Linked DNA regions of Cricetulus griseus. The protein of the gene in region 1 interacts with the protein of each later gene in a biochemical or structural test. Links are inferred from orthologs where the notes say so. Each region holds a gene or a part of one and is shown on either strand. Other genes may lie near its edges. The genes, in order: Cdk1, Ezh2, Prc1, histone H1.0, Usp16, Rpa1 and Cdca5.

What was found.
Region 2: of the proteins of Cdk1 (region 1) and Ezh2, one has a biochemical effect on the other in vitro, tested with the Homo sapiens proteins (5 studies listed by BioGRID). The link is inferred for Cricetulus griseus from reciprocal best matches to the Homo sapiens genes CDK1 and EZH2.
Region 3: of the proteins of Cdk1 (region 1) and Prc1, one has a biochemical effect on the other in vitro, tested with the Homo sapiens proteins (2 studies listed by BioGRID). The link is inferred for Cricetulus griseus from reciprocal best matches to the Homo sapiens genes CDK1 and PRC1.
Region 4: of the proteins of Cdk1 (region 1) and histone H1.0, one has a biochemical effect on the other in vitro, tested with the Homo sapiens proteins (3 studies listed by BioGRID). The link is inferred for Cricetulus griseus from reciprocal best matches to the Homo sapiens genes CDK1 and H1-0.
Region 5: of the proteins of Cdk1 (region 1) and Usp16, one has a biochemical effect on the other in vitro, tested with the Homo sapiens proteins (3 studies listed by BioGRID). The link is inferred for Cricetulus griseus from reciprocal best matches to the Homo sapiens genes CDK1 and USP16.
Region 6: of the proteins of Cdk1 (region 1) and Rpa1, one has a biochemical effect on the other in vitro, tested with the Homo sapiens proteins (2 studies listed by BioGRID). The link is inferred for Cricetulus griseus from reciprocal best matches to the Homo sapiens genes CDK1 and RPA1.
Region 7: of the proteins of Cdk1 (region 1) and Cdca5, one has a biochemical effect on the other in vitro, tested with the Homo sapiens proteins (2 studies listed by BioGRID). The link is inferred for Cricetulus griseus from reciprocal best matches to the Homo sapiens genes CDK1 and CDCA5.

What each region holds. Positions count from the first base shown.
Region 1 is NW_023276806.1:268,279,703-268,283,202, forward strand, and holds part of Cdk1 (cyclin-dependent kinase 1), read left to right. Parts: intron 1-483; exon of another isoform or gene 484-561; intron 562-2,997; coding exon 2,998-3,154; intron 3,155-3,500. UniProt on the Homo sapiens protein: Plays a key role in the control of the eukaryotic cell cycle by modulating the centrosome cycle as well as mitotic onset; promotes G2-M transition via association with multiple interphase cyclins.
Region 2 is NW_023276806.1:222,396,696-222,400,195, forward strand, and holds part of Ezh2 (histone-lysine N-methyltransferase EZH2), read left to right. Parts: coding exon 1-25; intron 26-1,051; coding exon 1,052-1,192; intron 1,193-2,900; coding exon 2,901-3,003; intron 3,004-3,500. UniProt on the Homo sapiens protein: Polycomb group (PcG) protein. Catalytic subunit of the PRC2/EED-EZH2 complex, which methylates 'Lys-9' (H3K9me) and 'Lys-27' (H3K27me) of histone H3, leading to transcriptional repression of the affected target gene.
Region 3 is NC_048596.1:117,299,059-117,302,558, reverse strand, and holds part of Prc1 (protein regulator of cytokinesis 1), read left to right. Parts: intron 1-216; coding exon 217-366; intron 367-630; coding exon 631-778; intron 779-1,740; coding exon 1,741-1,877; intron 1,878-3,500. UniProt on the Homo sapiens protein: Key regulator of cytokinesis that cross-links antiparrallel microtubules at an average distance of 35 nM. Essential for controlling the spatiotemporal formation of the midzone and successful cytokinesis.
Region 4 is NC_048595.1:376,142,442-376,146,341, forward strand, and holds histone H1.0, read left to right. Parts: upstream 1-1,364; 5' UTR 1,365-1,628; coding exon 1,629-2,213; 3' UTR 2,214-3,400; downstream 3,401-3,900. Other genes in the region: Gcat (2-amino-3-ketobutyrate coenzyme A ligase, mitochondrial), read left to right, coding at 3,806-3,900. UniProt on the Homo sapiens protein: Histones H1 are necessary for the condensation of nucleosome chains into higher-order structures. The histones H1.0 are found in cells that are in terminal stages of differentiation or that have low rates of cell division.
Region 5 is NC_048597.1:9,874,356-9,877,855, reverse strand, and holds part of Usp16 (ubiquitin carboxyl-terminal hydrolase 16), read left to right. Parts: intron 1-1,181; coding exon 1,182-1,369; intron 1,370-1,679; coding exon 1,680-1,775; intron 1,776-3,260; coding exon 3,261-3,391; intron 3,392-3,500. UniProt on the Homo sapiens protein: Specifically deubiquitinates 'Lys-120' of histone H2A (H2AK119Ub), a specific tag for epigenetic transcriptional repression, thereby acting as a coactivator.
Region 6 is NC_048600.1:88,756,965-88,760,464, reverse strand, and holds part of Rpa1 (replication protein A 70 kDa DNA-binding subunit), read left to right. Parts: intron 1-1,343; coding exon 1,344-1,520; intron 1,521-3,500. UniProt on the Homo sapiens protein: As part of the heterotrimeric replication protein A complex (RPA/RP-A), binds and stabilizes single-stranded DNA intermediates that form during DNA replication or upon DNA stress.
Region 7 is NC_048596.1:53,258,711-53,261,735, reverse strand, and holds the end of Cdca5 (sororin), read left to right. Parts: intron 1-827; coding exon 828-1,253; intron 1,254-1,419; coding exon 1,420-1,500; 3' UTR 1,501-2,295; coding exon of another isoform or gene 2,296-2,325; 3' UTR 2,326-2,525; downstream 2,526-3,025. UniProt on the Homo sapiens protein: Regulator of sister chromatid cohesion in mitosis stabilizing cohesin complex association with chromatin. May antagonize the action of WAPL which stimulates cohesin dissociation from chromatin.

The DNA.
Region 1 (3,500 bases):
TGCTTTTGCCTGGGTTTATCACAGGAACAGTGGTTCACTTGTAACTCTTGTTCAAGAGAATTTAAATTATCCCTGATTCTTTGCTGATAACCATAGGGCCTCACAAACTTCTGAGCTCATCTCACTTCTGGTCCTGAACACACCAGATGTGTGTGTTTCAGAAACACTACTGATAGCTTGTATGTGTGTTTGGGGGTGTCAGTTAGGGAGGTAGAATTAAAGTAATTCACATTACATTTTAGTCTTATTCAATTAATTCTAAATACTAGATTCTATTATGTAAGCTGGATGCAGTAATTGACAAGCTAAGATGAATGATTTTCTATGGGGTTACTACAGGCAAGAATGACTTAAACATAGTGGCTTTTATGTGTTGTTCAATTCCTTTCTGTAGTATTTTGAACAATGCTTAGGCCCATGTGGCATAAATGAGGAATGAAAATAACCCTTTCCTATTTCTTCTTTTTTTTCTCTTCCTGCAACAGAATTTCCATATTTCTACCTAGGAGTCAAGACGTCATTCTTAGCTCTCAAGGAGCAAACGGTGGAGCTTGTTTCTATGTGGGTTCTGTTGAGGACTTTTCATTTTCATCTGTGTTCAGAGGCCCCACTTACACAGGGGATTAAAACCAAGGCAGGGAATTTAGTAAGCCACGAATGGCCCAGGTAGTGTTCAAGTGGGAGTCTGGGGTTTTCTGTATCAATGGGATCATCACCTCCACAGCTGTCTTCTTACATGGTAATCTCCCCCTCACCAGCCTCACCTGCTGCCACCCACCTCTCCAGTTGCATTTCTTTAATCCTTCAGATAGGGCTTTCTAAAACCATCCAGTGCTGGCTTCTCTTTTCAGCTTGTTCTGTCTAGATCGGTGGCTCTCAGCCTTCCTAATGTTGGGACCCTTTAGTACAGTTCCTCATGTTGTGGTGACCCCCCCTCCCCAGCATAAATTTTTTTTTGTTGCTACTTGTAATTTTGCTACTGTTATGAACTGTGATATAAAAATACTTGTTTTCTGATAGTCTTAGGTGACCCCTATGAAAGGGCTATTCAACTCCCAAAGAGTCTGGACCCCACATATCAAGAACTGCTGTTCAAGTTGAAGGGATTTGACCATTTCCTTTGCATCAGTCTTTGTATTCCTTTTAGTTGCTCCAGGTTTAGGCTCCACGAAGGCTAGGGTCCAGATGTCTCTCACAGGAGCTGCTCAGGTACTTGATGGAGCACTTTCACCTGCTTTCCTGAACTCTTCTCTGGCCTAGAGGCTTGTCTGCTCCACTGTGCCTGCTGTCTTGGGTTCTGTGTATTCTGTGCTGAAAAACTGACTTGTTGAAATAATTTGACATCTCTCCAGCCTTGTTTGATACCCCACCAAATTATTTAATGATTTAAAGTACTTTATCTAAAACATGAATTTCTGAGTATCCACTGTTTATTTCATGAATAGTGTTCAGTGATTAACAAGTAAAGGGGTTGTGCTTTGTTTAGCCCTATTCAGACGTTCATTGAGAAGAGCCAGGAGTTGAGACACTCAGAATGGTTCTGTGTTGTCTAAGTCAATGTTTACTGAGTATTGGCTGCTAATCATCATGAGTTAGTTCTGCACTTTACCAAGGAATGAAGTAGTCCACTGGGAGGAAACAGAAAACGCTGTAGGAATTCAGAATTAATCATTTTTTATTGGATTGTTATATACCTTGCTAATTCAGACTGTTCAGACAGTGTCCTCTTGCTAATGGCTTAGCTGCTGTGTGCTTCATACAAGGCAGATATACACCCTTAAGGAACCTGTGAGTGTACGGATTTCCTATGTCTTCACAGACAGAATGTAGGCCTTTTTACCTGGGATATTTTCATTATTCAAAGTCACCTAGCATTTGGTCAAAATAGTAAGGATTTTATTTGAAATAATATCATTAAAATGACTGGATTGTTTAGGAAAACAAGCTCCTCTAATTTTAAAAAAATGCTAGAACAAAGCTTATGTGGATGTCAACTTGCTGCTGAGCAAACTGCTTAATATTCTAAACAGTTGATCACTGGGACAGATTGTTAGAGCCAATAAAAGCTATTGCTGCTCTAATCCTTTGGGTTTTTTAGACAGCATCTAACCTTGCCTCAGCTTCCCAGGTGACAGGATTACAGACATGCACACCATGCTGGGATCTTTTGTCTTTTGGGACAGGTCTCACCAAATTGTCCAGGCTTGCCTCTGACCTGGAATTTTCCTGCCTTAGCCTTTCAAATAGCTATGATCACAGCTATGTGTCACCAGACCTGGTGTTCTTGTCATTTCTGAAGTCATACTGATGCCACGAAAAGCTGTTTAACAAAGTTTATATATAGCTAGGGAGTTTAGTACCTCTCTAAACTGGACCCTGAGTTTAAAAGACGCCTGTAACATCTGGGGAAGTGTATGCAGCACAGGTGACTAGTCCATCTTGCTGTGCCTGCCACCCCCACTGTGTCTTTTCTTACTGCCATTGCTGTTCATGTGATACTCATGTTAGTGTTTTCATCATTCCCAACGGGAGGGAGGCTTCCTCCTGTAGCAATAGCAGCTTTATTGGGTTTAGTAAAAATGTGTGGTGTGGTATTTGTCTCTACTCTGCTGGCTGAGGACTGTTGACTACATTTTGAGATGTGTTAAAGTGTGGAAAGCATAAGTCATCCTGAATGTGTTCCAGTGCCTCCTCTTGGTACTGTTTTCCCAGCTTCAGTTTACGTAGTGTTTTAATTGCATGCAGGATATTTGACAGGTGAATTTCAACTTGTATGCTGCCTCATGAAGGAAGCTTAACTGTGGGAGACTTGGGTGACTTCATGAATTTTAGTCCTAAACCATGTGTATGTTAGGTTGTAGTTACCTTCAATTTCTTTTTGGAAGTAGCGAGAGTTTAAGTGTATGTGAGTTTACCTCCTGTCTGGCCACAGCAGGCACATCTATCATGTGACACCTTAAGGATTCACTTAAAAAAAATCTCTTTGCTTCATTTCAGGTACTTATGGTGTGGTGTATAAGGGTAGACATAGGACTACTGGCCAGATAGTGGCCATGAAGAAAATCAGACTTGAAAGTGAGGAAGAAGGAGTGCCCAGTACCGCCATCCGGGAAATTTCCCTATTAAAAGAACTTCGCCATCCAAATATAGTCAGGTGGGCTATGTCTGAATTGAAACAATTCTCCCCATTGTGGATTTTTTTTTTTTTTTTTTTTTTTTTGAGACAGGGTTTCTCTGTAGCTTTGGAGGCTGTCCTGGAACTAGCTCTTGTAGACCAGACTAGTCTGAACTCACAGAGATCCGAGTGTCTCTGCCTCCCGAGTTCTGGGATTAAAGGCGTGCACCACCACCACCCGGCTTAATGTGGATATTTTTATGTTTGTTTAGTTTCTGGGTGCAGTGGGATAGAGTCACATTTATTTTTGTTGATTGTAATGCTAGGAGGAGATAAAAGAGAATAGCCTGTTCAAAGAATTCCAGACATGGTGCTGAGAATTAAT
Region 2 (3,500 bases), about 46 Mb from region 1:
GATGGGAAAGTGCATGGAGACAGAGGTGAGTTATATGTATATTCTCTTGGGGGCTTTGTTAAAGATTCAAGATGCTTGGGTTCTTTTTTTTTTTTTTAAAGGTTTTATTTATTTATTATATATACAACATTCTGCTTCCATGTATATCTGCACAACAGAAGAGGGCACCAGATCTCATAACGGATGGCTGTGAGTCACCATGTGGTTGCTGGGAATTGAACTCAGGACCTCTGGAAGAGCAGTCAGTGCTCTTAACCTCTGAGCCATCTCTCCAGCCCCAATGCTTGGGTTCTTAACATAGGGTTTGTAAAACAAACAAACAAACAAAAAACAAACTTTTTTGTGATAAAATTAATTTTTGTGTTTGACTATAAAGGACTAGCCTGGGCTGACAGGCCTACATTTTTGGTGGTTTTTTTTTTTTTTTTTAGTTTTTCCATTAGCGGATCTTACTTGTTTGCCACTTGGTAACCATCAGTAAATAGTTATGAACTGTAGCAGCAACATGGAAATTTTATAGGAACGGAGTGTGTGTATTTGGTAAGCTTTAAATAATAAAATTAACTAGGCTTAAAGTTCTATTTATGGGATGTGTGCTTCAGAAAGCCTCCCTGCTCAAAAACACCTTTCCTCAGGGCTGCCTTAGCGCCTGAAGTTGAGTCATGAGATTCCTGGATTCAAGTTTCTTGTGTTCAGGAGGTTCTTGGTATCTGAGAGAAGGGGGTGTGGTCATATTATAGTAGGAAACAAGGTTTGAAGTGGCCAGTCAGTGGCACAGATTGGGAGGAGGCTAAAGCCACAGGTCTTAGAAGATTAGGAGAATAAAGGGTCCTGGACCATCTGGAGAGGGGGTGATTCCTGAGAAAACAACAGACACTCAATGATCATTGCTGTTGTCTTTGCTGGCTGTGAAATGATCTTGACTGACTGTGTCTGCCCCTCAGGTTAGTTACAGTGCTGTGCTGATGGGCCCTGGCTGTTCTTCCAGATTAGGAAACACAAACATAAACTTTTGTCATAACACTTTCCCCTGTTTCTGACTGACTTTTAGAATGTGGATTTATAAATGATGAAATTTTTGTGGAGTTGGTAAATGCTCTTGGTCAATATAATGATGATGACGATGATGATGATGGAGATGATCCTGATGAAAGAGAAGAAAAACAGAAAGATCTAGAGGATAGTCAAGATGGTATGTTTAATACTAGGGTTTTTTTTTTTTTTTTGTATGAGCCTACATCATTCTTTAAAAAACGTGTGGAGCCTAGTGAATGGCTCAGTGAGTAAAACCATCAAGCCTGATTGAATTGAGTTTGATCCCTGAGACTTACACTGTGGAGGAAAAGAACTGACAGTCTCCTAAGTTACCCTCTTATCTTCACATTCCTGTACACTGTGGCATATATACAGTCATATATGTAAATGTAAGAAAAAATCCCATTATGAGTAGAATGTAATTTCCCTCTCCTTTTGTTAAATATGTCTTAGTAGTATAATCAAATATATTCTCTGCAGGATTTCATTGTCCACTGTAGCTTCTTTGTTTGCTTTGCCTGGCAGAGGAACATAATCCTTTTTGGGCTTTGCTGATCAATTATTGCAATATCTTTATAGTAATATCACATATTATGTACATTGCATGCTGGGCTTTGCTGATCAATTATTGCAATATCTTTATAATAATATCACATATTATGTACATTGCATGCTGGGCTTTGCTGGTCAATTATTGCAATATCTTTATAACAATATCACATATTATGTACATTGCATGCTTACTTCATACGCACCAGCTCACTTATCCTTCCACAGCTCTGCAATGTCGGTGTTGCTATCAGATCCATTATATATTGGGAATGAGTTTAGAGAGGCTAAAGGCTAAAGAACTTACTGAAGACTGTAATACTGGGAAGAAGTAGAACACTGAGCCCTAAGACGATGACCTAGGTCTGTCTCAGGAGCTGTGCTGTTATTGCATCTGCACTTGTTAAGGATTATTAGAAACCAGTCCATCCTATGGCAGAGCCTATAAATGCTGTCCTCTACTCAGCAAGCCTAGTATTAAGGCAGCTTAGTAGAATTTAGGGGAGAATTGCAATATCAAGAGGCACGTATTCTTTATAACAGAAATACATCTTAGGGGTCAACTGGATGATCGCTAATTCTGTCAAGCTACTGGCAGATCTGAAAGTGTATTAGTATCATTGCTGACACAAAGCTATTAGTTGCAAATAATGAAAATCTGGGGGTTCTGTCTTCCACTGCTCTTAAAACATCTCATATTTGAATTTTATGTTTGTTCTTCAAATATTCCACAGGCTTTACATTAGAAGTAAATGATACAGGGTTTGTTGGCACATGCCTATAATCTCAGCACTTGAGAGTAAAGGCAGGAGAGTCAGAAGTTCAAGGTTGTCCTCAGCTACATAGTGAGTTTTATGCCATCTTGGGCTACACTAGGCAAGCGTCCCCAATAAAATCCCCAAGCTAGTCAGAGCCAGAGACAGTAGAATAGAAAAGTGGACTGTCACTGGATAAGAGTGCTTGCTGAGCACATCTTGATGACTTGAGTTTGATTGCTGGATTTAACTGTAGAAGAGCATTGTACTAACTCACAAAAGTTGTCCTCTGATCTTTACACATGCACGGTGGTGCACACACTAAAAATAATAATAGTCACCAAAGGTTTGACATCAACCTGTACTTAGTTGAATTCCAACTAGAACTACATAGAAAGAGACCTTGTCCCAAAGATTATTCCACCAGCCCCCCAAAAGTGAAGCGAAGTTGACAGTGCCTTAGGAAATCAGTGTTGTTGAGATACTGTGTGATAAAGAGAAAAATGAGATTTAAACTTGTTTCTTTCACACCCCCCCCCCCCATCACAATTCACTGTTTAGATAAAGAAAGTTGCCCTCCTCGGAAATTTCCTGCTGATAAAATTTTTGAAGCCATTTCCTCAATGTTTCCAGATAAGGGAACAGCAGAAGAACTAAAAGAAAAGTAAGTGAGAATTTTTTTTAAAATATGGGGCAGTCTTGCATATAATTCATCATCTTGTTTTTTTCTAAATGGAATTACCGAGTGTGATGAGCCATTCCATAGTTTACAGCTTGTGTGACACTTCAAGCACAATCTCCATTCCTCTCTTCCACACCCCACACCCTATTCTTGTACTATGTGTTATAAAGGGTTATTGCATGTAGAGTAAGTGTACAGATAGATATTCATGCACACAATAAGCCCATGTACAATTTACATTAGTTTATTGTAGGAAAACTTTTCTGGGCACTGGTAGAGATTTTTATATTTAATTCAAACTAATATAATAACCTGTGATATACCTGAATTGTATTAACGAGCTTAGTTCTTTCTGTAAGTAAAGATTTCTATGGGTTAGATCTTTTTTTGTTGTGTTTTTAGGTAAGGTAACATAAAAAAAAAATCAAATCCAAAGGAAGCCTTTTAGAAACTTTAAAAAAATGATTTTTCTTTCTGCT
Region 3 (3,500 bases), on another chromosome or scaffold:
ATGTAAAAGTGTGATAGCACACAGTTAAACTATAATCCTAGCACTCTGGAAGCTAAGTAAAAGCCATCCTGTGCCACATAGAGAAGATATGAATATAAATATATATGGATCTTAAAAAAGTGCTTTCTCTCCTGATAGGCCCAGGCATTTTCCTTTGAGAGAATAGAAGGCTAGTTTTCACGATTTTGGTCTAACCACTGCCTTTCCTTGCTACAGCTGGAAATTAAAAAATCAAAAAATGAAGCAGAGTGCGAAGGGCTCCGTGCTCAGATCCGAGAGCTCTGGGATAGGTTACAAATACCTGAAGAAGAGAGAGAACCTGTGGCTGCAATTATGACTGGGTCAAAAGCCAAAGTCAGGAATGCGGTAAGAAAACCAACGGGCGCTGGGTAAATACTGCTCTTCTTGCAAGTCCAATGTCCTTACTGCCTACTGTCTTGGGCCAGCAAAGACAAGTTGTATTTTGGTGCATTTTGTGGGTACATTCCTTAGATTTCTGGCTTTTATAATGTTAGAAGGTGTGTTGTTGATTTACTTGCATAGCTCTGTGTTGTAATTTTATTTAAATGTGGAAAGGTAAGCAAGTGAATATGAAAGTATGGCTATAACCTTTGTCCTTTTTTTCTATAGCTGCAATTAGAAGTGGATCGCTTAGAAGAACTGAAAATGCAAAACATAAAGCAAGTGATTGAGACAATTCGAGTGGAGCTGGCTCAGTTCTGGGACCAGTGTTTTTATAGCAAAGAACAGAGACAGGCTTTTGCCCCTTACTATTCTGGTTAGTATGATCTTCATGTGGCCACCTTCACAGGTCTTTCATAAGCTCAGACACTCACCAGGAAGTTCTGTATTTCTACTTCTGAGCAGATAGAGCCAAGCCTTAAAAATATTCCCTCGCTTAATTTTCATGGCATACGAAAAGGGCACTAATCTGGATGGTGGTGCCTTTAATGTCAGCACTGGGGAGGCAGGCAGATCTCTGAGTTCAAGGCCAGTCTAGTCTACGAATGAGTTCCAGGACAGACTTCAAAGCTACAGAGAAACCCTGCCTCAAAAAAAAAAAAAAACAAAAGAAAAGAAAAGGGGGGAGGCACTAAAACAAAGTTTTGAGCAACTAAACCAGAGGTATAGCAGATAAATGCTTGGGTCAAGGGAGTCAAGAAGAAGAGTTCCAGACTGTCTTAAACTGAACAGAGAAGTGAAATGTCCTAACAAAAAAATATATGTTTAGATATTTTATGTAGCCCAATCTATCAGCTGTGCAAAGCATAAAGGAAGAGTGAAAAAAAGAAGAAAGAGACAACACATTTTGGAGAATGTTCATCAATTTAGACTATTTTAATCCATCCCAACTACTGTGGCTGGCTTTTATTCCTCTCACCCTTTCTCTTTTCTTTTTTAAGGTTTATTTTTACTTTATTCCTATGTCATTTTAAATTATAAGGTAGAAAACTTTTCACAGTGTAAGGTTAGTTACTTGGAATACCAAACATAAGAACAGTTGTTCTCAACCTTCCTAATGCTGTGACCCCCAACCATAAAATTATTTTGTTGCTACTTCATAACTGTAATTTTGCCATTATGTACCCTAATATAAATATCTGATATGCAGGATATCTTATATGTGACCACAAGAGGTCTAGACCCACAGGTTGAGAATCACTATACTAAAGGAATTTGTGTAAAAAAGACAACAAAACCTAAAACCAAAAAACCCACTACTGAATTTTGATGTTACAGAGGACTACACAGAAAACCTGCTTCATCTTCATGACGCTGAGATTATACGGTTAAGAAACTATTATGAAGTTCATAAAGAACTATTTGAAGGTGTCCAGAAGTGGGAAGAGAGCTGGAAACTCTTCCTGGAGTTTGAGGTAACCTCCTCTGTATTTCTCTAGAGTGAAATCAAGCATCATGACAGCACACCAGGTGTGGTCGCCCAGGCCTGTAGTCCTGGCACTTGGCAAGGATTGTCATAGGCTCTTCTCTAGACTGAGCTTCAAAGTGAAGGGAAAAAGCGTTACAAATAGAGAAGTTAGACTCGGTGGAAAAAACTGAGGCGTACATACAGCTAGTTCCTGTGGTAGTCCTTACCAACTCTCTGCTTGCAAGCAGAGAGAAGTCATGGGCAGAAACGTAAATGTAGACTCCCTGGTTAACACATTCACATTTAAGATGGAATAAATGAGGTCAGTGCTCCCTGCAGTTCTTTATAGGCTGTCCCAATCAGGCACTATGTCAAGAATACTACTGATTGCCTGCCCCTAGTTTTGAGTAGCACACCTAATTTATAATACGTACTCATTACTATGTATATGTTAGAAAATAACAAAAATGAAAAGTTAATTTTTTATTTTTTATTTTTTTATGGTGTTGAGGATTGAACCAGGGTCTCAGACATGCTTGATCATTCAGCTTACATCCCCAGCCCAACATTTTGCATTTTCTGGCAATGCTGGGAAGTTAACACAGGCCTTCCCTTGTGCTCGTTGTAAGTATAGAAGTTAGTGGGCTAGTAAAGGCACCACACTAATTCATGAGTGCAGGCCTCCTTGCATCCCCTCCACATATTCTATATTCAATTCCATTGTAATTAAAAAATAAAAAATAAAGTCTCACCCGGATGTGGTGGTATATGCCTTCACTTCCAGCACTTGGGAGGCAGAGGCAGGCCTGGTCTACAAAGTGAGTTCCAGGACAGCCAGGACTGTTACAGTGAAAACAAAACCAAAAACAAAACAAGGTCTCACTCTGTAGCTCCAGATGGTTTGTCTGCCCCCAAATGCTGGAAATAAAGGCTTATGACATCCTGCTCAACTTATAACTGTCTTCCCCCAGGTCTTCCCCCTCCCCTAAAGATCTATTGACAATGGTTTTTGAGGGGGAGCGACTTTTCTCTTAAGTAGTGTGGCTATTGGTAAGTTGCCATGCTCCTATATAAATAACCCTTTACCTATGATCCTGTAAGCAACCCTAATTGAAAGCTCTTTGAGTCAACCCCCTCAAAAAAAAAAAAATGTAGATGGGATAGTTGGCAAGAGGAAGGGAATCCGCAGCCGTGGGAAGGTGGTAAGAGAGTAGCAGGTTGAATATGAACAAAATTCACGTACATGCATGAAAACATGAACCTCAGGCAGGGAGTAGTGGTAGCACACACCTTTAATCCCAGCTCTTGGGAGGCAGAGGTAGGTGGATTTCTTGAGTTTGAGGCCAGCCTGGTCTATTGAGTGAATTCCAGTACAGACAACTAGGGCTAGGGTTACACAGAGAAACCCTGTTTCAAAAAGAAAAAGAAAGAAAATCACTATTATGTGTACTTAAGTTTTTTTGTTTGTTTGTTTTTTTAGAAGAAAATGTTAGTTTTCCTGATTCCCCAGTAGATGGCCTTATATATATGGCAGGGAGTGCCCATTGCCTAGAAAATTACCGTTTTTACTGTTGAGTGAATAGAAATTCACAACTCATAAAATCACTTTAATATATGCATCTGATTAGGA
Region 4 (3,900 bases), on another chromosome or scaffold:
AATCCTGGCATTTTGAGGAGGTAGACTGCAGACAAGACGTCCCAGGCTCTCTGGGAATCTCTTCGACTACGACTCCCAACAACCCCAGGTCGTACTGCAGACTGTGGCGCCCCTTGCTAACTTCATTGATCTGTGCCAAGCAGGGCTGTTAAGATAGATGCATTTTATAACAAAGGCATGGCATCTTCCCAGCAAAATGGCGGTGGTCCCGACCACGGCTCCCTGATCGACTGCATACCTAAGTCACCACCAGAGAAAGGAGGACTCTCTCCTCGCCCCGTTTTTCCAAATCTCCAAAGCACACAGAGCCTCTGCTCATCCCAGGGCCCCTGAGGACAGTCTCTGGTCAGCGCCTATGGGACAGCGCCAATGATGTGTACCGCACCCCATCTGGCACACCCTAAATTTCAAGAGGCCAGTGGGAGAGGCGGCTCCACCCCCCCGGGTGGACCTCGTGGTCCTGCTTCGCACCCCCAAAACTCCCAAGCTAAGAAGGCATGTAAATGAACTCTTAGGTTCGGATATATGCAAGATGTGGGGGTGTCCTTGAAGAAAGTAGGGCACCCAGGAAGCCAGTCCCCGTCTCCCAGGGGTCCCAGGAAGCTTTGGGGGCTCGGGTTCAGGCAGGAATCTCCATGCAGCGATCTGGGGGCGCGTCGAGGGGAGAGGCGACTCAAGAGGGGGAAGGGACAAAGTTTGAAAGAGCCCTTCCAACTCTTCCAGGGAAAGTTTCCTTGAAGGCCCCGGGGACAGAGAGGGGTTAGGGGTGCCGGGGGGCCTGTGGCCGGGTGACCCCCAAGAGGTGACCGGACCCCGGGGAGACGACCCCTCCCCCCTTGTCCCGACTCGGCCCGGCTGGGAGTCGCCCAGCTCGGGGCGGCGTGTGTTAGTTGGGGCCGCTTCTGCGCCGTTCCGCCAGGTTGGGGGACCCCGCAGCGGGTCGGGAGTGGGAGCCCTGGTAGTCCCAGGGGTGAGCTTTCCTACGGGGGGTCTCAAGTCCGGGGGCTCCCGGGCCCCGCAGAGCCAGCCCCCCGCAAAGGCGAAATGTGCCGGCGCCTGAGCGCTCCTCGGCGCAGTTTGGGGCCCGTGGCGGGCGCGGGGGACAGCGGCTGGGGCGCCTGGGTCCCCAGCGGGGAAGCCTAGGGAGCCAGGCAGGGACTCCGAGAGACAGCGGGCAGCAGGAGGGCCTGGAGCGCCGGCAAAGGTCGGGTTTGCTCGGCGGAAGAAACACAGATGGCGGCGGCGCGGCGCCATTCCGGGCCGGGAGCAGGCAGCCAGCAGCCCAGTCCTCACCGCGGTCCGCCCGCCGCCGCTAAATACCCGGATGCGCCGCCCGAGCGCCAGACGCAGAGCTGGGAAAAGGGAGGCCGAGGAGGCGGAGGCAGAGCCAGGCGCCGGACGAGCGACCGAGCGGTGGGGGCTGGGCCGCGCAGAGCAGCCCGCGATCCCGCCTGCGACCCGCGCCGGGGAGGACAGGAGCCACGCGTCGCCCGCGGCCCCGGCAGCCGCACTTTCGTCTGGCCTGCTAGTCGAGCGGGAGAGCAGATCCCGATTCGGGTCGTGCCCAACCTCCCGCGAGGACTGGCCCTTCGGAAGGCTCTCTCAGCAGCAGGAGCAGGCCGGCCACCATGACCGAGAACTCCACGTCCACCCCTGCGGCGAAGCCCAAACGGGCCAAGGCCTCCAAGAAGTCCACCGACCACCCCAAGTATTCAGATATGATCGTGGCTGCCATCCAGGCAGAGAAGAACCGCGCCGGCTCCTCGCGCCAGTCCATCCAAAAGTATATCAAGAGCCACTACAAGGTGGGTGAGAACGCTGACTCCCAGATCAAGTTGTCCATCAAGCGCCTGGTGACCACCGGTGTTCTCAAGCAAACCAAAGGGGTAGGTGCCTCGGGGTCTTTCAGGCTGGCCAAGGGTGATGAGCCCAAGAGGTCGGTGGCTTTCAAGAAGACCAAGAAGGAAGTCAAGAAAGTGGCCACTCCGAAGAAGGCAGCCAAGCCCAAGAAGGCTGCCGCCAAAGCCCCAAGCAAGAAACCCAAAGCCACCCCTGTCAAGAAGGCCAAGAAGAAGCCGGCTGCCACGCCCAAGAAAGCCAAAAAGCCCAAGATTGTCAAAGCCAAGCCGGTCAAGACAACCAAACCCAAGAAGGCCAAACCTGTGAAGCCCAAAGCCAAGTCCAGTGCCAAGAGGGCCAGCAAGAAGAAGTGACAATGAAGGCTTTGCTTGTGACACTCCTTCCTCCCTCCTGTTTTCTGTAAATACATTTCTCTCTTGATCTCATCTGCAACCCTTTGCCCATTTTATTCTGACTTTACAGAAAGGACAGAGTTTGGATTCCTCAGACAGACATTGTGGAGCGATTCCCTTTTCCTTAACCCATTGTGCAAGGAAAGCCTCAGACCTCATCTTTGTAATGATGAAGATGTACTTTTTTTCTTAATTTGATATTTAACCTTATGGGGTTAGGGTTGGGGTGGGTTTTTGTTGGGAGGTTTGTTTACTGTGAAGGCAAATGGAACTGGTAAAGTTCTGGCTAGATGAGGGGACCTAGGAAATGAAGTTTGTCCTTTTTAAGGCTGTAAGTTGCTCATCCATCCCTTCTGAGAGCTTCAAAACCTTTGGTGCAAAGCAGAGGATGACACTCCACCTAGCTGGCCAGGGAGGGGAAAATCGCTCGGCTGCCCTCAGCGGTGGTGAGCAGTTGGGGACCTGGGGTTTCTTTTCACATATGCCCTAGTGCCTCCCCATTGTCTAAAAGGGGAAAGGGGTCCAAGTGACAGCTGGTTAGAGAAACCATTGCTTCTCACAATCAGGATCTAGCCATTGGGGAAGGGGGGGGGTCTTTTCAGCAGTCTCTTGTTAAATGGGAGTGGACTTAGGGGAGGGTGGGGAGTCAGCCAAGTGCCTCAGTGTGCCTGTGGAAACTTGGGTTTTTTCCACACGATTGTTGAGAGCTGTGTCCTAGGAGAACTTTCTTCTTTTCTTTTTCCTTCCTGTATAAGATGTGGCTTTGCTTGGTGCTGCTTCAGTTTTACCAGCTGCCACGTAAAACCCCTCCAACTGCTTTTACTTTTAAATCTTTTCTAAGTAGCCTAGGAGGGGGAGAGGCGGGGAGTGGACTGTAAGACAATACAGTTGATTTTAGTTTGCTAGGTAGCTTTAGAGAGCCAGGATTGTGTGCATGTGTGTATATGTATATATCCATATCTAAGACTAGTACTTAGTCTCACTTCGGGAGCTGGGAGAAAAAAACCTGTACAGTTGTCTTTCTCTTATTTTAATAAAATAGGAAACTCGCGTCCCTTCCCCCTTTTTAAACAAGTGTTATAATTGCTGGGAAAAGTTGCTGTGGTTGTAATTTTAAACTTTTAAAATAATAAAACTGGTAAAATATCTGAGTGGTGCGTTTCCCTCAACTGAAGGAGAGTAGATGGGTTACGTGGGGCAGAGCTGGCGCCACGTTAGCGCCGGGAAAAAGCGAAGCTTTGGGGAGAGGCTGGAAGGGCAGGAGGCGGGTCGGCTAAGTACGGTGGTGGGTCCTCGGGAGAGGTGGGTGTGTGGGGAGGGGATGCCCTGAAGCCACTTCCCGGCGCGGACCTCCTGGGTTTTGACTTACAAATGAATCCACTTTCGTTGCCTGTAAGCCGCGTCAGGCTCCGCCTGCCGACGGGACCTCCTCACCAGCCTCTTAAAGAAAGCTCCTATTGCTCTGATTGGTTGTCGGGGCCCTGCCCACGCCACATGACAGGGAGAGCTAGGCAGCTGGCTGGCAGGCGCATTCATTCCTTCCCGTGGGCGAGATGTGGGTCAGCAGCGTGTGGCGCGCGACGCTGTCACCCGGCCGCCGCGCGCACTCAGCGTTGGCGCAGCTGCGCGGCATCGTGGAGGGCGAGCT
Region 5 (3,500 bases), on another chromosome or scaffold:
TGGCTGTCTTGGCCATTTGCCTAAGTGCCGCCTGCTGTTATCAGGCTGAGACGAGGGAGGGAGGCTGTAGAAGGTCTCCCTAGACCCTGGGGACGGGGGCAGAGAGGCCAGGGTGGTGGTCTCCCACAAAGCTGGGGACAAGATTAGGGGATCAGAATTGGAGGGTAGGAAGGAGAGTCAAGATTGCCCACCTCATTTCTTGGCCGGTGTGGGAAGCAGGCTTCCAGGGAATGCCTATAGACTGAATTATGCTGTATTTAGTGGTATATTTTGAAAAAGAAAATTTTCAGTCTCTCTATTAAATAAAATGAACACACATGCACACACACTGGTTTTTAGACAGAGGTTGTCTTCTGTTGTTTTGGAGACTCTGGTCTCTTGTACCCTGGCTAGCCTGGAATTTACCTAGGTACACCTGACTCTGCCTCCCAAGTGCTAGGATGAAAGGCGTGTGCCACCATGTCGGGCTAGAGGTAGAGTCCTCTGTAGCCCTTACTGACCTTACATGTAGTCAAGGATGACACTGAGCTTTTGACCCTCCTGTCTTCACCTCTCAAGTTATCACATGGCTTACAGACATGCAACACCACTCTTTGGTTTTTTGAGGTACTAGGAATCAAACCCTAGGCTTCATGTATGCTTGGCAGCGGATACCCTTCTAACTTACATCCCTAGCTCCTTTTGTGGCATTTTCTAACAGTCAGGTTCTTAGATACTTTCTGAGAAGCAAATGAATTGGCATGGTGTGCAGCGTTTGCTTTAAGTTTATTCTTTAGATACTTGTGTTAACAATTATCTTTTTCAAGACAGAGTTATTTATACCAGAATTGATTTTTGGTTAGTAGAATTCATTTGAACATAATACGTTTACATTGTTGTTGTGTGTCCTAATTCTACATAGTCATATACATTCCAGTATGAAGAATATTTATGTACTAAAGGGACAATTTTATACCAAAGCATATGCTTCTTTTACACTTTCAGACTTGCCTTATATCATCAGTTCTGAATGTTTATCACTTCTGTGAGTTTACCAATACTTATTAAATATCAGCCAAATTGATTCCAGTAATTGATAGTAGTTAAAATAAAAAATTCTAGTACAGTATTCTAAATGAGCTTTACATTTGGCATGGACATATTCTATACTTTGCCAAATCTTCTTTTTCTCCTTTTTAAAGCAGAGAAAGATAATGGACATATTGAACTTGAAAATAAAAAATTGGAAAAAGACAGTAAAAATGAACAAGAGAAAGAGAAAACGGAAAACATGGCTAAAGAAAACATTCCCATGGACTCTGCTTCCCAGATGATTGTGAAAGGACTCAGTAACTTGGGAAACACTTGTTTCTTCAATGCCGTTATGCAGGTGACAAAGTTCTCTTCTTCCCTCAGGCTATATCCTCCCTGTGTAAATTCCTGTCTATTCAGAGTAATTGCTTAAAACTCTATTACTGCCAGTGCTTACCAGTGTGTCCTTACATTCCAGCCATAGCAGAAGTGACATGAGCCATGGAGAGGGGGCGAAGAGTGTGTTGTAATGTTTCCTCTCTAGGTAGAGAAGTAATGAAGAGTCACTGTTGGTTGTGGTTTTCAGTTTTGGTAGAATAAACACTTAACTGTTTGAATGACTTGGTTATGTAAGTAACTGCTCATTTTGTTTCCATCCTGCATTGTAGAATTTGTCACAAACACCAGTGCTTAGAGAACTACTAAAAGAAGTGAAAATGTCTGGAACAATTGTGAAAATAGAGCCACCTGATCTGGCACTAACAGTATGTATTTGGTCCAATTTAACTTTATAATTTTTATTTTTGAGACAGGGTCTCACTTTGGAGCTCACAGAGACCAGGCTGGCGTTGAACTCACAGAGAACCCCACCTGCCTCTGCCTCCCAAGTGCTGGGATTAGAGGGGTGCGCCACCACACCCATTTCTTACTCACTTGAAGACAGTCCCCTTGTACCGCAAATCTTGGCAGGCCTCTGTTTTAGCCTTCCCAGTTCTGGGATTGGAGTGTGTGCTGCCATGCTAAGCTAGATTTTCCAATTGACCCAGGAAGACCCCTTGGTGGCAGTTAAAGTCACTGGCTGACAGGCCCTTGAGACTGACATGGTGGGGGATGAGAACTCACTCCCACTTGATGATCTGAGTCCACCCTTAGGCCTGACGTTGTACAAGGTAAGAACTCACTCCCAGGTTTTTTTTTCTGACTTCCACACTTGCCACAGCACAGCATATATACCTACTTCTATACACAAAATAAATGTTAAAAATAAATAAATAAAAATTGTCTTACAATTATCTTTTTTGTAAATATTCATGTTCCAAGTTGTTTTGAGGAATTAAAACTCATCTCTGACTTTTTTCTTTGGTTTTATTTCAGTCTAAGATAAACAGTTAGAACTAATAACTGTTAAAAGAACTTTCTGCTTGCTTGCTATGAACTTGCCATATTTGGTGTGAGTGTGTATGTTTTCTACCACCATCTTAAGAATGTTGATAATTGTGAAGCTCAGGCCTGCACTGTTGTTTTTGACATTTTCAGTGTGACCTAAGTGCTATGTAGTCAGATAAATTTTACTTTCTCTACAGTTACTAGATATATTTTGTCTTTGCTTTCTTAATTCTTAGGTCATAAGTTCCTATCCATTCAAAACTAAGATAAAGCTCAGTTTTCCATTAAAAATAATTATCAGCCGGGCAGTGGTGGCACATGGCAGGCAGATCTCTGTGAGTTCGAGGCCAGCCTGGTATACAAGAGCGAGTGCCAGGATAGGCTCCAAAGCTACACAGAGAAACCCTGTCTCAACCCCCCCCCCAATGTATTATTATCATTTGTATGAGGTGTGTGTGTGTGTGTGTGTGTGTGTGTGTGTGTGTGTGTGTGTGTGTTGTGTATGTGTGAGGTGTCCATGTAAGGTATGTGTGTGTGAGTGTGTGTGTGGTGTGTATGTCTAAGCTGTGCATGTGGAGGTCAGAGGATAACTTCATGGAGTAGATTCTTAACCTTCCACCTTCAACAATTTCTGGGGGTTGAACTCGGGTTGTCAGGCATGCTCAGCAAGTACTTTAATCACTGAGCTCTTTTCCTGGCCCAGAGCTAAATTTTTGAACAGCTAGTTTCTGTATCTCTATATGGTATAAATTTTGGATGTTTACATTTGGCAGCTCCATCAATATCATTCATTGGCTTGTTACATTTTGGTAAGTAAATGACTCTTAACATTTGAGTGACATAATTTTTATTTCTATTTTTAGGAACCTTTAGAAGTAAACCTTGAGCCTCCAGGTCCTCTTACTTTAGCCATGAGCCAGTTTCTTAATGAGATGCAAGAGAACAAAAAGCGAATTGTGACTCCTAAAGAGCTCTTTTCTCAGGTCTGTAAAAAGTGAGTATCCACTTGCTTGTGCTTTCAGTGCATCAGTAAGATGCAGAGAGCATCAGAACCAACAGAATAGACACATATTTCATTCCAATTTAAAGCAACATGTTTCCTG
Region 6 (3,500 bases), on another chromosome or scaffold:
TCTGAATTCAGGGTATTCCTGGATTCTGCAGTTACTTGACCACTGAACATAAACTGAAAACACAGAGTCCTGAAAACTTGTGTGTTGGGTACAGAGGTAAAGCGGATCCACTCAGAACCCTTAACATGACTTAGTCCTCCTAGGTTACTTAGCAGAGACTACTGTTTACATGGTTGTCGTCGTGGGTACTTTGGCATTCTCTTGAACTTTATTCAGTCCAGGAGTTGTTGCTGGTCAAGACTGTGAACTTGCTGTCTGATGTTGTCAGTAAAAGTTTACTGAGAACCATCTGAGCAGTGATGGTTCTCGACTTTAATCCCAGCACTCCACAGTAGAGGCAGGTGGATCTGTGAGTACGAGGTCAGCCTGGTCTCCAGAGCAAGTTCAGGACAGCCAGGGCTACACAGAGAAGCCCTGTCTCAAAAATATATTTTATTGGATCATCCTCCATCTTCACATTGTCTGGGGTTTGTCTTGCCCCACAGCAGCAGGCTGAGGAGCGGCAGTAGAGACTGACTAAATGAGTTCTTGGGACTAAAGTTTTCCTCTGGCTTGTCACAGGAAAAGCTTCCTGATCCCTAAAAATAAGGTTAGAAATCACTGACATTGTAAAAGATTATGTGTTTGGCCAGCAAGGTGACTCAGTGTGTAAGGCTCCCTGACGCCAAGCCTGACAGCCTGAGTCCAGGCTCCAGGATCATGTGGTGAAGGAAGACCAGCAGCTCCCACAAGCTGTCTCTGGCCTGCACACATCCCATGCTGTGTGTATACATAGTGTGTATACATATGCAGAAACACATATACACACATTAGATACATACATTTTACAAATATTATGTGCTGGCAAGATGACTTAGCTGTTAAAGGCACTGGTCCTGCTGTCTTGGAAACTTGAGTTCCTGGAGCCACAGTGGAAGGAGAGGACTGACACCTGAAAGTTGTCCTCTGGCCTCCGCAAACACACCGTGGCGCAGGCTCGCCTGCATTAGTTTGCATGTGATCATCATATATGCAGAGATACACGTATGAAACAATTAATAAATAAAGAAGAATTATGTGTCCAGGTGTGGTGGCTAAGCACTCTAGAGACAGAGGCAGGCAGATCTCTGTGAGTTCAAGGCTAGCTTGTGAGACCCTGCGGGGTGGCGGGTGGGGGGGTGGGCTGAGTGCTGTGGGTTTGCATGTAGAAAACAGAGTGAACAGTTCTCCATATTCGGTCTGTGAGTGTGGGAACTAGGATACACATCACTTACCACTTGCAAGTAAGAGCAGCTTCAAGTAGCCTGTTCCAGGCCCAAGTGTAGCTTGCTGATCCCGGCCTCTGTGATACTTTTCTCCCATAGGCGGACTATTTCAGCACAGTGGCAACGGTGGTGTTCCTTCGCAAAGAGAACTGTATGTACCAGGCCTGCCCCACCCAAGACTGCAATAAGAAAGTGATTGACCAGCAGAATGGGTTATACCGCTGTGAGAAGTGTGACCGGGAATTCCCCAACTTCAAATATCGCATGATCTTGTCGGTGAGTAGAATGGTTATCGAGAAGCTTTATGGTGTTCACTGATTGGCTGACAAGGACAAGACACTGGGGGGTGCAACAGTAGAGCCCAGGTGGTTGGTAGTAAGGAACTCACAGATGCATTGTGTTGGGGAGCTTGCTGCTACTCTGTAAATAAGGAGGTAATGGCTGTGCCCTGGCTGACCTGCAGTGTTCATGCTCCTGAGAACTTGATGCCCTCGCCAATGGGCAACTTTTTTTTCATCTGTGATGCTGTGTGGTCACCGTGCTGGTGGTGCTAGCCTCCTCACTGTTGTGGAGATAAATTAATATGAAATGGCATTTCTGGAAAGCAGTAATTATAACTCTACAGCCAGTGCCTGTGTTAGTTTTCTTGTGGATACTCTGGTTTTTTTTGGGGGGGGGGGGCAGTTGACCTTAGATGAGTTGACTTGAGAGGAGTGTGCCAGAGTATGGTAACTCTTTTAAACTCTGCTTTGGTTTGATTTGATTTGACAGTAAGGAATATGTCCAAAACCTTAAAAATGTTCCTATTGAAGCCAGGTGTTGGTGACGCACACCTTTAATCCCAGCACTCGGGAGGCAGAGGCAGGTGGATCTCTGTGAGTTCGAGACCAGCCTGGTCTCCAGAGTGAGTGCCAGGATAGGCTGCAAAGCTACACAGAGAAACCCTGTCTCGAAAAACCAAAAAAAAAAAAAAAAAAAAAAAAAAAAAAAGTATTCCTATTTCCTAATGCAGAAGCCACCTACAGGGAATTTATTCTGAAGAACTAATCAGCAGTATTACAGCTGTGTGAAGTTGTTTACTCTGAAAAGTTGGGGTCAGTTTAAATGCCCTTCTGTTTGTTACTTCCTTTAGTGACTAGCCACTTTAGTGAGTAGAAGATTGTAAAGGCCTTGGACTTACAGCTTTTATGCCGAGGTTGTCGCTCAATGGCTGACACATGTCTGTCATCCTTAGCTACTTAGCAAGTTAAAGGCCAGCTGGCTAGCTTGGGCTACATGAGAGACACCCAGTCCCAGAAATGGATGAATGAATGAAACCAAAAATCAGCCAGGCCATGGTGGCGCATGTCTTTAGTCCTAGCACTTGGGAGATAGAGACAGGGGATCTCTGAGTTCAAGGCCAATGTGGTCTACAGAGTGAGTTCAGGTCAACCAGGGCTGCATAGAGAATCTGTCTCAGAAAAACAAACAAATAAAGCAAAAAGAATTTAGGGTTGGGGATGTGGGTGGTTATCAGTGAAGTAGTAATAGTGCCAGGGTGAGGATTGAACTCAGTTCTTGGGGCTCATTGGCCTCTTGGCCTAGCCGGCTCAGCAAACTTTCTTGGCTCTCACCAATGTAATTTAAGCCTTACATCCACTGGGATTTGTTTCTGTTGCTTGGTGGATTTGGTGACTGGTTAAAGGTTTTTTACATTGGCTCTGAAATTACCTGTTGCTCAGTAATGACTTAGAACCATCTCATGCAGTTCTTTAAATTCAAAATGTGGGGCGGAGTGATAGCTTAGCAGTTAAGAGAACCCAGGTTCAATTCCCAGCACCCACACTGCAGTTCACAACTATCTGAAACTCCAGTTCCAGGAAATCTGAGTCCTCACATAGACATGAATGCAGGCACAACCCCAATGTACACATGCAGTGTGTTTTAAGAGTGGTTTAAGCTCCTGCCTCCCAAGTGTAAAGACCTAAGTTCAGATCCCCAACTTCCAAGTAAAGCAACTCAGGCTTAGGCCTGGAGCTCACTGGGCATCAGCCTATCCAGTTGCTGAGCTCTGTTCACTGAGAGACCCTGTCTCAAAAGTTAATGTGGACAGAAACCGTAGAAGACACTTTATGCCAAACTCTGGCCTCCACCTGTATGCACATAATACAACACACACTGTAAATTTTTAAAAAAATGTGTAAATGTGAACTCAGTCCATGGGAGGCTGAGGCAGAGAGATTGTAAGTTGGGCCTGTTTAGACTGCACAGTAAGAT
Region 7 (3,025 bases), on another chromosome or scaffold:
TCAGTGCTCTCTTAGCTATCTCTCCAGTCCCAAAAGAACCTTTTTTTTTTTGGTTTTTTGAGACGGTTTCTCTGTGTCTTTGGAGGCTGTCCTGGAACTAGCTCTTGTGGACCAGGCTGGTCTTGAACTCACAGAGATCTGCCTGCCTCTGCCTCCCGAGTACTGGGATCATAGGCGTTGGCCACCACCGCCCAGCTTGTTCTGCTTTTTAACCCACCCCCACCCAAGTTTTCCTCATGTTTTCAGTGCCACAGTGAAAGTGCTGAGGTGCCAGTGTTTTGTTTTGTTTTAAGTTTTCCCTGATATATTCCCGGTGCCCAGAACATTCCCTGGTGTGGGACAGGTCACTAATAGATATTTATTGGTCAAATGAACATCTTATAAAAATCTTTAGAAGCTATATGGCAGATGACCCTGGAAGCAGGCAAAACAATTAGGAGGCTGTCAAGCCAGTTTAGGTATGCTGGAACTTTATGTCAAGTAGCAAATTGTTGCTATATGCCAGGTACATTTGAGGGTGGCAGCAAATGTAGTGAATCTTGTCCTAAGTCAGCTTCTCCAAAACAGTAGTGATTATCTCTTTTTTTCTTTCCAACAGTGGAGGTAGAACCCAGGGCTTATGCATTTCTGGGCATGTGCTCTATGACTGTTTGTTGCTTAAAATCTGTCCTGGACTGGGGATGGAACTCCTCAGCACAGTGTTTGTCTAGCATGCACAAGGTCAACCATAAAATACACAAGAAACGTAGAAATCCTGTGCTTTGTGGGCAGTCTTTCCATCCTGAATCCCCGAGCTGACAAGAGTTCTCTCGCCTGTCCTGATACAGATCTCTTTTATCTTGGAAAAAGAAAACAACCCTCCTCTCAAGGTACCCACAAAGGAGGACCTCTTCAAGACCTGTAGTGTCCCTGGTACCCCCACCAGCACCCCAGTGCTGTATACTCAGAATGTTGAGTCTAACTCTGAGGAAAGAGAACTGGACACCAGAGACTTGGAAATGTCCCAGAAAGTCAGGCGATCATACAGTCGGCTTGAGAGGCTCAATGCTGCCTCAACCTCCACCCCTGGCCGCCGATCCTTCTTTGGCTTTGAGGGACTTGAAGACTTGCCCCAAGTCTCACCTGTCGTGAGTTCAAAGTTAATTGAGATCCCCAAAGTATCTTCGAAGCCCTTGATTCCAGACACAACGCTTCCTGGAATCTCTCCTCCAGTCATGAAAGAGAAGCGAAGGAAGAAGGTGCCGGAGATCCTAGTGAGTAAGGGGCGGGGTCTCTCCCACAGATGCACCGTATTGGTTGGGGGGAGGGGGGCAGGACTCCAGGTTTTGAGGGAAGGCAATTCCTGAGGTGTGGATAAGTAACATTCTCTGGGCAATGTGGCCGCTTCCCCACTCAAATGCCCTCATTTCTTTCTACCAGAAATCGGAGCTGGATGAGTGGGCTAAGGCCATGAATGCTGAGTTTGAAGCTGCTGAACAGTTTGATCTTCTGATTGAATGAGATAAAGTGGGGGTACACCTGGCTAGGCTCTCCCCTCTCCCTGTACATATTGACTTTTGAGTAGAGCAGGACTTGTTACCCAGAAAGGTGTAGCTGGCCCCTTGTTATATTGTGGCTAGTTACCCTGGACTTTCTTCACAGTATTGGGGATGAGAAGCTAATTCTGTTACAATCCTGCACTGTCAGAAACAAGTTCATCGTGGGTTATCTCTCTGGTGTTGCCCTCTGTTGGTGGCTTGGAGTCCTAGAGTCTGATAGGGAGCTCACAGGCTAGAGACAGTTAAACTCTTGAGGAAATCTGAATATGGAGTCTGGGATGTGAAAGAAGGAGGTAGTCATAGTTTTTTTTGTTTGTTTTTTTAACACGAGTGACTGTTAAGTAGGAGCTGTTCATGTCTGTGTTCTGCTGTTGACACATTGGTGAATGAGGTACTGATGTCTAGGGCAAAGTAAGTATACTTCATGGTATGGGCTCCAGATGCCACCAACTTGAGATTTGTGGTCTCTGGTCACCCTTTCCTCACCCACATCTGTTTCTTTCAAAATGAACTGCACAGTCTTGGCTCTGGGATGTGGCTTTTTTCTCAGGAGCCATACAGCTGTAGCACTGATGACAGCTTTTGCTGTGAGCTTGACTATTACACTTTCACACGAGACCATTCCCGGGGGTGGGGGTTGCTGGGAACAAAAGTAGATGTCTCATGGTCTCTGCGGAAGTGCTTCCTGCCTACCATCTCCTCTGGATGATAGTAGAAGATATGGTTTCAAAGGGCATTGGACTTCCAACATATGCAGGTTCATTGGAGAAGAAGCTGCATGGAATGAGAGTTGCAAGCAAGCACCTGTACACCAGGATGGTTTTGAGCGGAGCACATCTGAAGAATTTGTCCTCACTGGTCCCTGTGGACCGTGAGCTGGACCTTCTGATTGCTGCCATCACTACAGACCCGTCTGTCTTTGAGGAACTAATGTACAGCCCAGGGGAAAGGTTTGATGTCAAATAAACTTTTAAAGAGTTTTGTTTATAGACTGCTTTTTATTTGGTCAAAGACAGAGCCACTGGTGTGAAGCCCTGGATGCCATGTCATTGGACTGTGTCACCAGGGCTGTTCCTCTTAAAATTTGCCAACCTGGCCTCCCTCCAATGACTGATGCCTTGTGCCTCCAAACTAGGGTTTCCTGAAATGAAGGCCCAAGCCCCCCTGTCCCAGGGGAGGTTTATGGAATTGACTACACTTCATCCCTCTCCCTCTTTTCCTAAGGCTCCATCCATCATAGGAGCCAGTGGCTCAGGTATAATAGCTGTTCCTAGATGCCACCCAGCAGCTGATGCCTTGTGCCTCCAAACTAGGGTTTCCTAGTTTGGGCACCCCTGAGAAGCAGATCAAAGATGTGATTCCTTGGCCTGTTGTGCAGATGTGAGCGTCCCAGCTCATCCTCTGCTGAAATTTAGGCTTTTAAATTTCCTCCAGAGCCCTTCCTGAACCTAGAATATCATCTCAGCTCAACTGGCCAACAAGACCCA